2 linked regions of the Nothobranchius furzeri genome follow. The protein of the gene in region 2 interacts with the protein of the main gene of each other region in a biochemical or structural test. Links are inferred from orthologs where the notes say so. Each region holds a gene or a part of one and is shown on either strand. Other genes may lie near its edges.

Region 1 (4,191 bases), on a different chromosome or scaffold from region 2:
GCCTCCTGCTGTGCCTGAACCTGCTCCTCCTTCCTGCGCTGCTCCTCCTGCTCTTGCTCCTTCTTTCTTTCCTGAGCTCGGACCAGCTCCTGCTGCATCTGCCTGATCAGGGCTCTCATATCCAGGAGGGTTCGCTCTGCCACGGTCATGTCCTCCATGCTGGGGAACTCCCCCTGCAGAGAGAAAAGCAGAAAAAGGTTAAAATACTACAACTTTAGAGGGGCTGTGTGTATGTTCATGTATTTTATTGTAATCAAATGCATCTGAAGGAGATTCTATAGGAGAAAAGCTGCTGTTATGCTATAAATGTCTGCAGGACGAAGGGCTTGAACAGTCAGGGGCTACCTCGGCCGTCTTCCTCGCGACCTCTGAAACCTGGGAGCACAGATGGTTCCCGCGGGCGCTGTAGGAGCCAAGGCTGCTGGCTGAGAGCGCAGAGTCGGTCTGGGAGGACGGCTCCAGCAGCTGGTTGAGCTGCAGGATCTCCTCCTGGATGTTGTTGAGGTTACGCAGTCGCTCCCTGCCCTCCGTCTGCCTCTGCTTCTCAAGCTCTGCCTCCCTTAAACGTAGGTTCATGAGCTGAAGAGCAAAGAAAATGTCGTCTATTGGATTTTATTCTTTCACAGAGAACAAGTGAATAAATACTAACGCACACCGACACAAAGAACTTGACGTCAGAGTTGGATCATTCTGCAGAGGTCTAAACGTGCCTTTCTGCTTTTCTCCCTTTGTTCTTGTATTATTCTGTTTTCTCAGCTTTAGACAGAATCTACTAAATGTGTGCTTTCTACACAGTTCATCCTACCCTCGTTCTGTGCCTCTGCTCCTCCTTCAGTTTCTCTTGACGGCCCATGATCTCTTTGATTCTGAAAAGGAAGAAAGAAAACTATCTTTTATATAATGCCTCTCAAGATAAAAATCACGAGGCGCTTCACAAACACACCAAAAAAAAAAGATTACGAATACCGTAAATCCTCTAATATTAGCCTGTATTTAATTAACTGCCGGGTATCATATTTTGGCCGGTGTCGGAGTCGGCGGAGGTGAATAATGGCCGGTTTTTTATTGTGGCCGGGTGGAATGTGGTAACAAGCAAGTACGGGGGGCGGTTGTGTCATCCGTCTCACTTTTGATTTGCCAGTGATAGACCGCGAGGGTAACTTTAACCGTGCGGAGACGAAGAGCAGGCGAAAATTTGATATCAAGTTCAAAGAGAACGTGCTGATTATGCTGCAGAACACTCCGGGGAGCAGTAGCAGGGGTTGTATGAACTAGTCACTAGTCTACTTCACCGCTCTATAGTGACTTTTTATGCCTGTCATCGACTAGTCGCTGTCACGTGATAATGACCGGCAAGATGCAGTCCACGGAAAAGACAGCAGCCTGCTGTCAGCAGGTGACAAGCTCCTGCGCGTCGGGAGGCAACGCGCTGTGCCAGAGCGTCGGTACCGACACCCGCCGTAAAACGGACATTTAACCAAATTGTGACCTTTACCCTCTTGCAATTTAACCTTCCCCTCACCCCCATCCTAACCTTAACCAGCCTGCGCATGCAAAGCTCTGATTGTTGACGTGCTCCAGATATCTGCGTCCTGAGCACGGCCACAGTAACATTATCAAGTCAGGCGTCGCCACCTCAAAAACTAATTTAACACGCGATCGTTCATGTCGGCTCATTTCCTTTTATGTTTTCTGTCTTTTTTTCTTTTATTTGTGCCTGATGCCTTTCGCTGCTGTGGATCGGGGCGCATCACCTGTTTTGTCCTCCGGTGACGCACCGATCACTGATGCGGCCGGCAAGCAGCGAGCACTCTGCTGTTTTTGCGGTCGGTAGATCTTTTAGAACTGCAGTTCAAAGGTAACTCATGAGGTGAATATATATGAACCCAGGTAGCAGTTTTTCTTTAGGATTGAGAGGAGATGCAGGAAGATAATAAACAGGACAAAAAAATAGTCAAATAAAAACAAGTTAGTTTTTGTACCTGGTGGTTGCAACAAACAGACACCATTGAAGGTAATCAGAAGTGAGGAACAGAAAATGAAATAATTATTTTAATGTTTAGAGCAGCAGGAACTCTGAGAGGCTGCAGGCGCATCAGTGAGTTTGCGCAGGGGGGAGATGGCTGAAGCAGAAACTACCGTTGTTAAAAGAAATGTGTTTAACTTTGAAAATGTGGGCGCAATATTAATTGTCAAAAACTCCAGCGAACCTTTAGCTCATTTTGCTCAAATAGAAATTGAGGCATGCCTCTAATACTGGCCCTCCTTCCAATAAAGGCCTGGAGCTTGATGAGCTTGAGTCAAATACAGGCCCGGGCCTGCATTAGAGGATTTACGGTATATTTAAAGAGCAAGTCACCCCCAAATCAACTTTTTTTCCCTGATAAACTATATAAATGCATGTCTAATCATGCTGCAGACACGTGTAGTCAATAGTTTTGCACTTTAGTGCATTTTAGTTCAAATTTAAATGTTCTGCCTAAAACTGTCAGTGTTGTGCCGTTGTCAGGTAAAAACTCTGCACTGCATTTGAATCTAAATCTGCCATCGCTATTGGCTAAGAGGTATCCTAGAACGTTAGCTGGTACCATATGATGTCACAATGTTGTGTGTGTGTGTGTTTTTGTTAGTGGCTCCGCCCTCTCAGTCTCCCAGACAACAGCATTTGTTGCATTTTTCAAACATGAAGTGGGAGCGGAGCAATACTCTGGTAGGGGGTGACTTGCTCTTTAAAATGAGAAAAAATATTGTGATTAAAGAATGGAAGGAAAGGGAGAGAGAAAACGAACAGGAAAGAGGGAAATCAGTGGATCCCAGGAATAGGTAGAAAGAGCAGAATAAGGAGAGGGTGGTGACAAAGGTCACACCAAAGCCTGAACAGGTGAGTTTTCAGCTGCTTGTTAAAGGAGACCACTGAGTCCACTGGAGGAGAGAGTTCCAGAAAGCCAGACCGTTTGGGTCACACGTACAACACTCAGAAACATAAAACTAGAGGTGTTGGCCACCACGCTGCTCTGTGCTCACTCTCGGTCCATCATGTCCCTCATACTCTGGAACTCCTGCCTCTGCTTCAGCTCCATGAGCTCCTCAAAGCGTTTTAGCTGCTCTGACTCAGCGTTGGCAGCAGCCTCCACCAGCTTCTCCTGCTCCTCCTGTCGCAACCTGAGCGCCATCTAAGCAGGGAGGACACGGGACAAACAGGACAGTCGGTCACTAAAAGCATAGCCTTGAAAGGTCATCTGTGTCAGACTATTTAGAATATTTAAATTGCTGGTTCTTAAGACAACTGGACTTATTTACAAATAATCAAAGCAGTGAATGTCATTTTTTAACCCGTCAAATGCATCTTTACAGTTCTTTAAAATGGCAAAATAAAATAATCTAAGACTTTGGTTATCCTCCCAGGTTTCCAGACAACTAGCAGGTGGGGATGTGTGCTGGTGAAATTCTAGTGATACGATACAAGGGAGACAATACGATATCTTCAGTCAAACGATATTACCTACTTTTTTAGACTGAAATTATTGTAGGACAATTCAATAAACAGTCCAAACTGTTTAACATGAGGTATCTTTTTTTAAGAACTTTTATTGAACCTTTGCAAAACGAACAAAAGCGACTACATTTCAAAATTTGTTAGCAGAATGACATTACAGAGTAGCTCCGAAGTTCGTGTTCATCTCAACTTGCATTTTGTGGATACAATTCAACTTGGTATAGTAAGAAGACAATAAACAAAAATAACAACCACAAAAAAAACAAAAATAGAACATGAAAGGATACAAGTAAGACAACATGAAAAAACAAATTATATGTATATAAATAAAGTTTTACAAGGGGGAAGTTAAAGAGCAAACAAGGTCTATTGTGTATACCATCCAAAAAGCAGTTAGAGATTAGTGTTCATAATGAAATCATAAAGCTTTATAGCATTGGGGGTGGACATTTTACCTAAGGATCTCAACAGCAGTTTAATTTCATTTTTGAGATTATTCCACGTAGGTGGATTTTTGAGATATCGGCATTTGTGTATGAAAAATTTTGTTAAGATTATGAGATTATTAATTAGAAATTCATTCTTTTTATCTTTTAGTATAATGCCAAATAAGATATCTTCAACTGTGAAATTGTTTATATAAATTTGATTGGAGTTCAGCCAATCCTCGAGTGAATTCCACATGATTAGAATTT
Region 2 (4,191 bases):
CGCTTTGCCGAAGTTACGGTTCTTCTCGTAGTAGCGCCACAACAGGTCCATATTATGAACTTTACTCTGGTCCTGTCTGATCATATGCATCAGGTGTTCTTCAAGATAAGGAGAATTCACCTGAGAGAAATCAGTAGACGTTAGGATGACAAACAAATAGAGAGGAAAGAATCCAAATTTTATTTTAATGACATCATTTATGGGCACCAGACACGCAAGTATAAGTGAAGTTTAACAGCTATCTGAAGTGCTACATGTTTACGAATTTTACCCGTTTATCATCAAACCAGAGCGGACATAAAGAACATTAAATGTGTGGTTCACTGAAAAACTATTTTTTAATGACTATTTTTGAATATAATCGGTCACTGAGCTTTTCATGCAGGCTACACATGAAAATTGTCTCCTACATCTATCTCCAACTTTGGTTTCTGATAGAAAATAGACGGTGAAACGCTAGGATTTGAAAAGCCTGACAGATCTACATCACACTGTCACTTCGCATTCATCGACTCACCCATTTTGACTCACGAAGGGGAAGGCTGCTGTTGGTTTAGCGTCCAGGAAACAGTAGAGAATGTTTCAACTAAAATAAGCTAATCTTTAGCATTAGCAACTCCACCACACGGCAGAACTCCAGGCTTGTGTTATTTGTGGAGATAAAACATCAATGTTGCAGAGAAAACAGAGTCATGCTGCTGTTATCCAATCAGAGGTGACATGTGTGTCCAAAAGTCAGGAAATAAGACCCCAAATCCTGACGCTCAACTCTGATCTGGCTCACTGCTTGTTTCTGAAACAAGAGCACCAGGTCTTTTTCTCCCCAGAGTACAAGTTACAAGGCATCCATTCCAACTAGAGACCACTGCAAATGTATTGATTAAATGAGAGTTCCAAGCCTTTAAAACTCGCCTCTAGATGCACGTTTTTTATTTTAAATGAATAAATAAACAGTTTTGAACACTGAAATGTGCCAGCTTTAGTTTGAACTGTTCAAAGATTATTTTAAATTTTCTTTTAATGTTTATTCTTTTAATGAAGCATACTTTGCTATGTTTACTCTTTTAAAGTTATTTTAACATTGCTTAACTGTTTGGTTTAAAAGAAAACTGAGCACTCATGTCCTCGCTGTGCGTTTGTCTTTTTAACACCTTAATCCAACAGCTGAAATGTCTCCCCAGTCTTCCATCATGTCTATAGGAGTGATTCATCACTAAATTAAACAAATCAGCTTTGTTCATGATCTAAAACATGCAGGTAATGTGCTGGAAGCAGACTGCAGCACCAGCGTGTTAGCTCCACTTTACTAAGACTAACGCCCAGAACACACCAGACGCAGAGGCGCAATGACGCGCAGCGGAACGACGAGCGCATCTAATCTACGCCCTTGTTAACCTGCACTTTCGGTCACATCAGCTGCAAAGCACCACGAAGGCTCGCGCCGTGCAGCAATTGTTTCGGCGTGAGCTCTAATTTTTTATTCTGGCAGGAAGTCAAACCAAAACAGAAGAGGCAGGCCGGTAAATTAACAAAATAGATTGATAAATGTGATCATTTCTGTGTATCTAAACAGACTAGAGAAACGAAAATCAACACACACAAAACTGAAGCAACATAGCGTTTCCACAATTTTAAATGCAGTTTTTACAGCTAAAGATGGAATTAATTAATGTGATTACAAACAAATATCTTTCATTCAAAGGTAAATGTACAATAGTATTATACAATACCGCAAACACTAGTTATTTACTTAACCCTTTAGAATGGAACTGGTCTACAAAACAGCAGAAGGATCAGCGCAGTTTCTGATATCAACAAACTAGGCAAACTGGTAACACACACACACACACACACACACACACACACACACACGCACACGCACGCACCAAGGGCACAGGGGTGGAGTGGGGGTTTGAAAAACAGTAGGCGTGAGCAGTAGTGCTCATCAAAAATTCTCGCCTGATGTGAACAGAGAAGGAACGGACAGTGCGCAAATTTCGTGAGCTATCCACTTGGCGGCGCTTCGGTGTGTTCTGGTCGTAACTGGGAGCAGACAGTCACTCTGAAATTGCAAGTGTAGTATTCTGGCCACAGAGGATGGTGGGATCTGAGTAACCCTTCAAAGGATCATTTTAGCACAAACTGGCTCAAGAAAATAATTAAAAAATATGAAAAACTGGCATAGAATGCCTTTAAATGTTTTACTGTGATTAACAGTATACAGCCGTACAGCAGTCAATCTGTGGACAGTTTGTTGAAAAGGGCTCCAAAAATAAAGATGACTGGTTGATTAATTGATCTTTGTCAATTAAAAATACATTGTCCATGTAGAGGTTATAACATGTCAATAAAGGTTCCTTTAAGCCCCTAAAAGAAGCTGAATTCATGCCTAAAAGGAGGAAACCTAAAAGTACCTCGAGCAGCTTGTCGGAGAGGTCGGCTTGAATCAGCCAGTTGTACAGAGCGATGTGAAACAGTTCATCCTGAGACCTCTGGGCCAAACCGAGCATCTGCTCAAACTGTAGGGGAACCACAAAGTCACATTACAAATTCAGATTGTGTACAGAAATTAGCAAGAACTACCCTCTTGTCTTTTCTTCAACACTCACATGGGCTGTAGCTTCTTCGTTGCTGAGCATGTTGGGATCAGAGGTCATGACAGGAGGTCCAGGCTGCTTGGGGACACTGGGAGATTGAGGGGCAGCTTTGCTCTGGTTCACCAGCTCCTGCATGGTGTCTGTGATGCACTTGTAGCAAGAAAGTCTGAAGAAAAAAAAACAGAAGAAAACCGTTGAAGAAAAACAGCAGACAATTTGGACATTAGTGCCGCCTTTTGATGGCGTCACCTCTCTTGGAAGGCCTGCTGCCCCGTTTTGTCCTCCTCAGGCTCTCCGTTCTTGTAGAAGTGGGGCCCGAGTCTCTGGGGATCCTTTTTATCTGCCGCTGTGAGGCACAACTCAAGAACTCCCTCGTAGAAACGCACTGAGAAATGAAATACCATTAGACGATGTGGCAGCAGCACAGACAGTCGCAGCGTGTTTTGTGCCCCCACCCACCTTGTCTGTACTGGGAGCAAACCAGTGGCAGGTCTATGTTCTGGCTGATCTGCTGGTAGAGCTGTAAAGACTCCCTTAAAGTTCTCTCTTTATCGATCTTGTTCTGGATCTGTTTAGAGCTCTGCAACATCTCATTAGCCTAAGAGGGGGAGGAAATCAAATTCAGTTTACCGAGACACAAAAATCTATGTGAGCTGATCGATATCATGTCCGGGCAGGACCTTGTTGCACCTAAAATGATCTGGAGGGTTAGGGAACTAAAAGAAATAAACAAACATGTGAAAAATATATCAGTTAAAATGTGAAAGTCTTAAAGGTGGCTTGTGTTGGTGAAAATCAACAAAGGTGTGTGTGTGTGTGTGTACCTTTGAGCAGATGCTGTCATCGCTGCTGTACAGCAGTGGACAGATGTCCCGTAGGTGATTGCTGATGGCGTCCACAGAGGCGTTATCTTTGATGTAAACGTTAATAAGGCCTGTGATGAGTGCCCCAGATAATTCCTTCCCTCGGATCACTACGTCCTTAAAACTTGCCCCCTTTATCTGCTCCTGAAATTCCTACAAAAAAAGGGTAGAATAAGTAGAGAGCATCAGAGCAGCGCCTGTTTGCTATGCTAAAGCGCTTCTGCCCACCTTTGGCAGCTCAGACATAATGAGGCTGAACTGATGATCGCAGAGAAGCTTCCAGAGTGCCAGAGTTTGATAAGAGCGGTGCACTAGCTGCTGGATGCCCTGCAGCGACACTTTCTCATAGACCTGAGCTTTGGCTAGTGAAAAAACGAATGAAAACAACATTTTTTTAACAATCAAAGCAATGAGTTGAATACAAATCTATACTTGTTTGCAAACTTTAATTTAAAAAAAAACTGAAGAGGAAAATGATGAAATTCCAGTTCAAAACTCACTGTGGTATTTCCTCTGAAGCTCCTGCTGCACCTGCTGGGAGCCGGCTCCGTCGGGACGCATGAATCCCAGCAGCCTTTGCTGCAGGTTGGCTGGAGAGCTGAAGCTAATGAGAATCCAAGCACAAAGGACCAGAATAAAGACAGAGACAGTCTATTAAAGTTTATGAATTAATGAAAAGAAAGTAAAACTCGGGTTAACTAGTTTTCACATCAGCTTCTCAATCAGTTTAA

Evidence for each region. The genes of interacting proteins can lie anywhere in the genome.
Region 1: the proteins of nup155 (region 2) and gle1 form a complex in vitro, tested with the Homo sapiens proteins (2 studies listed by BioGRID). The link is inferred for Nothobranchius furzeri from reciprocal best matches to the Homo sapiens genes NUP155 and GLE1.

Annotation. Positions count from the first base shown.
Region 1 is NC_091750.1:38,705,419-38,709,609, forward strand, and holds part of gle1 (mRNA export factor GLE1), read right to left. Parts: intron 3,174-4,191; coding exon 3,025-3,173; intron 867-3,024; coding exon 806-866; intron 580-805; coding exon 346-579; intron 174-345; coding exon 1-173. UniProt on the Homo sapiens protein: Required for the export of mRNAs containing poly(A) tails from the nucleus into the cytoplasm. May be involved in the terminal step of the mRNA transport through the nuclear pore complex (NPC).
Region 2 is NC_091746.1:53,447,814-53,452,004, forward strand, and holds part of nup155 (nuclear pore complex protein Nup155), read right to left. Parts: intron 4,065-4,191; coding exon 3,961-4,064; intron 3,823-3,960; coding exon 3,689-3,822; intron 3,614-3,688; coding exon 3,422-3,613; intron 3,196-3,421; coding exon 3,057-3,195; intron 2,983-3,056; coding exon 2,847-2,982; intron 2,764-2,846; coding exon 2,610-2,763; intron 2,520-2,609; coding exon 2,415-2,519; intron 121-2,414; coding exon 1-120.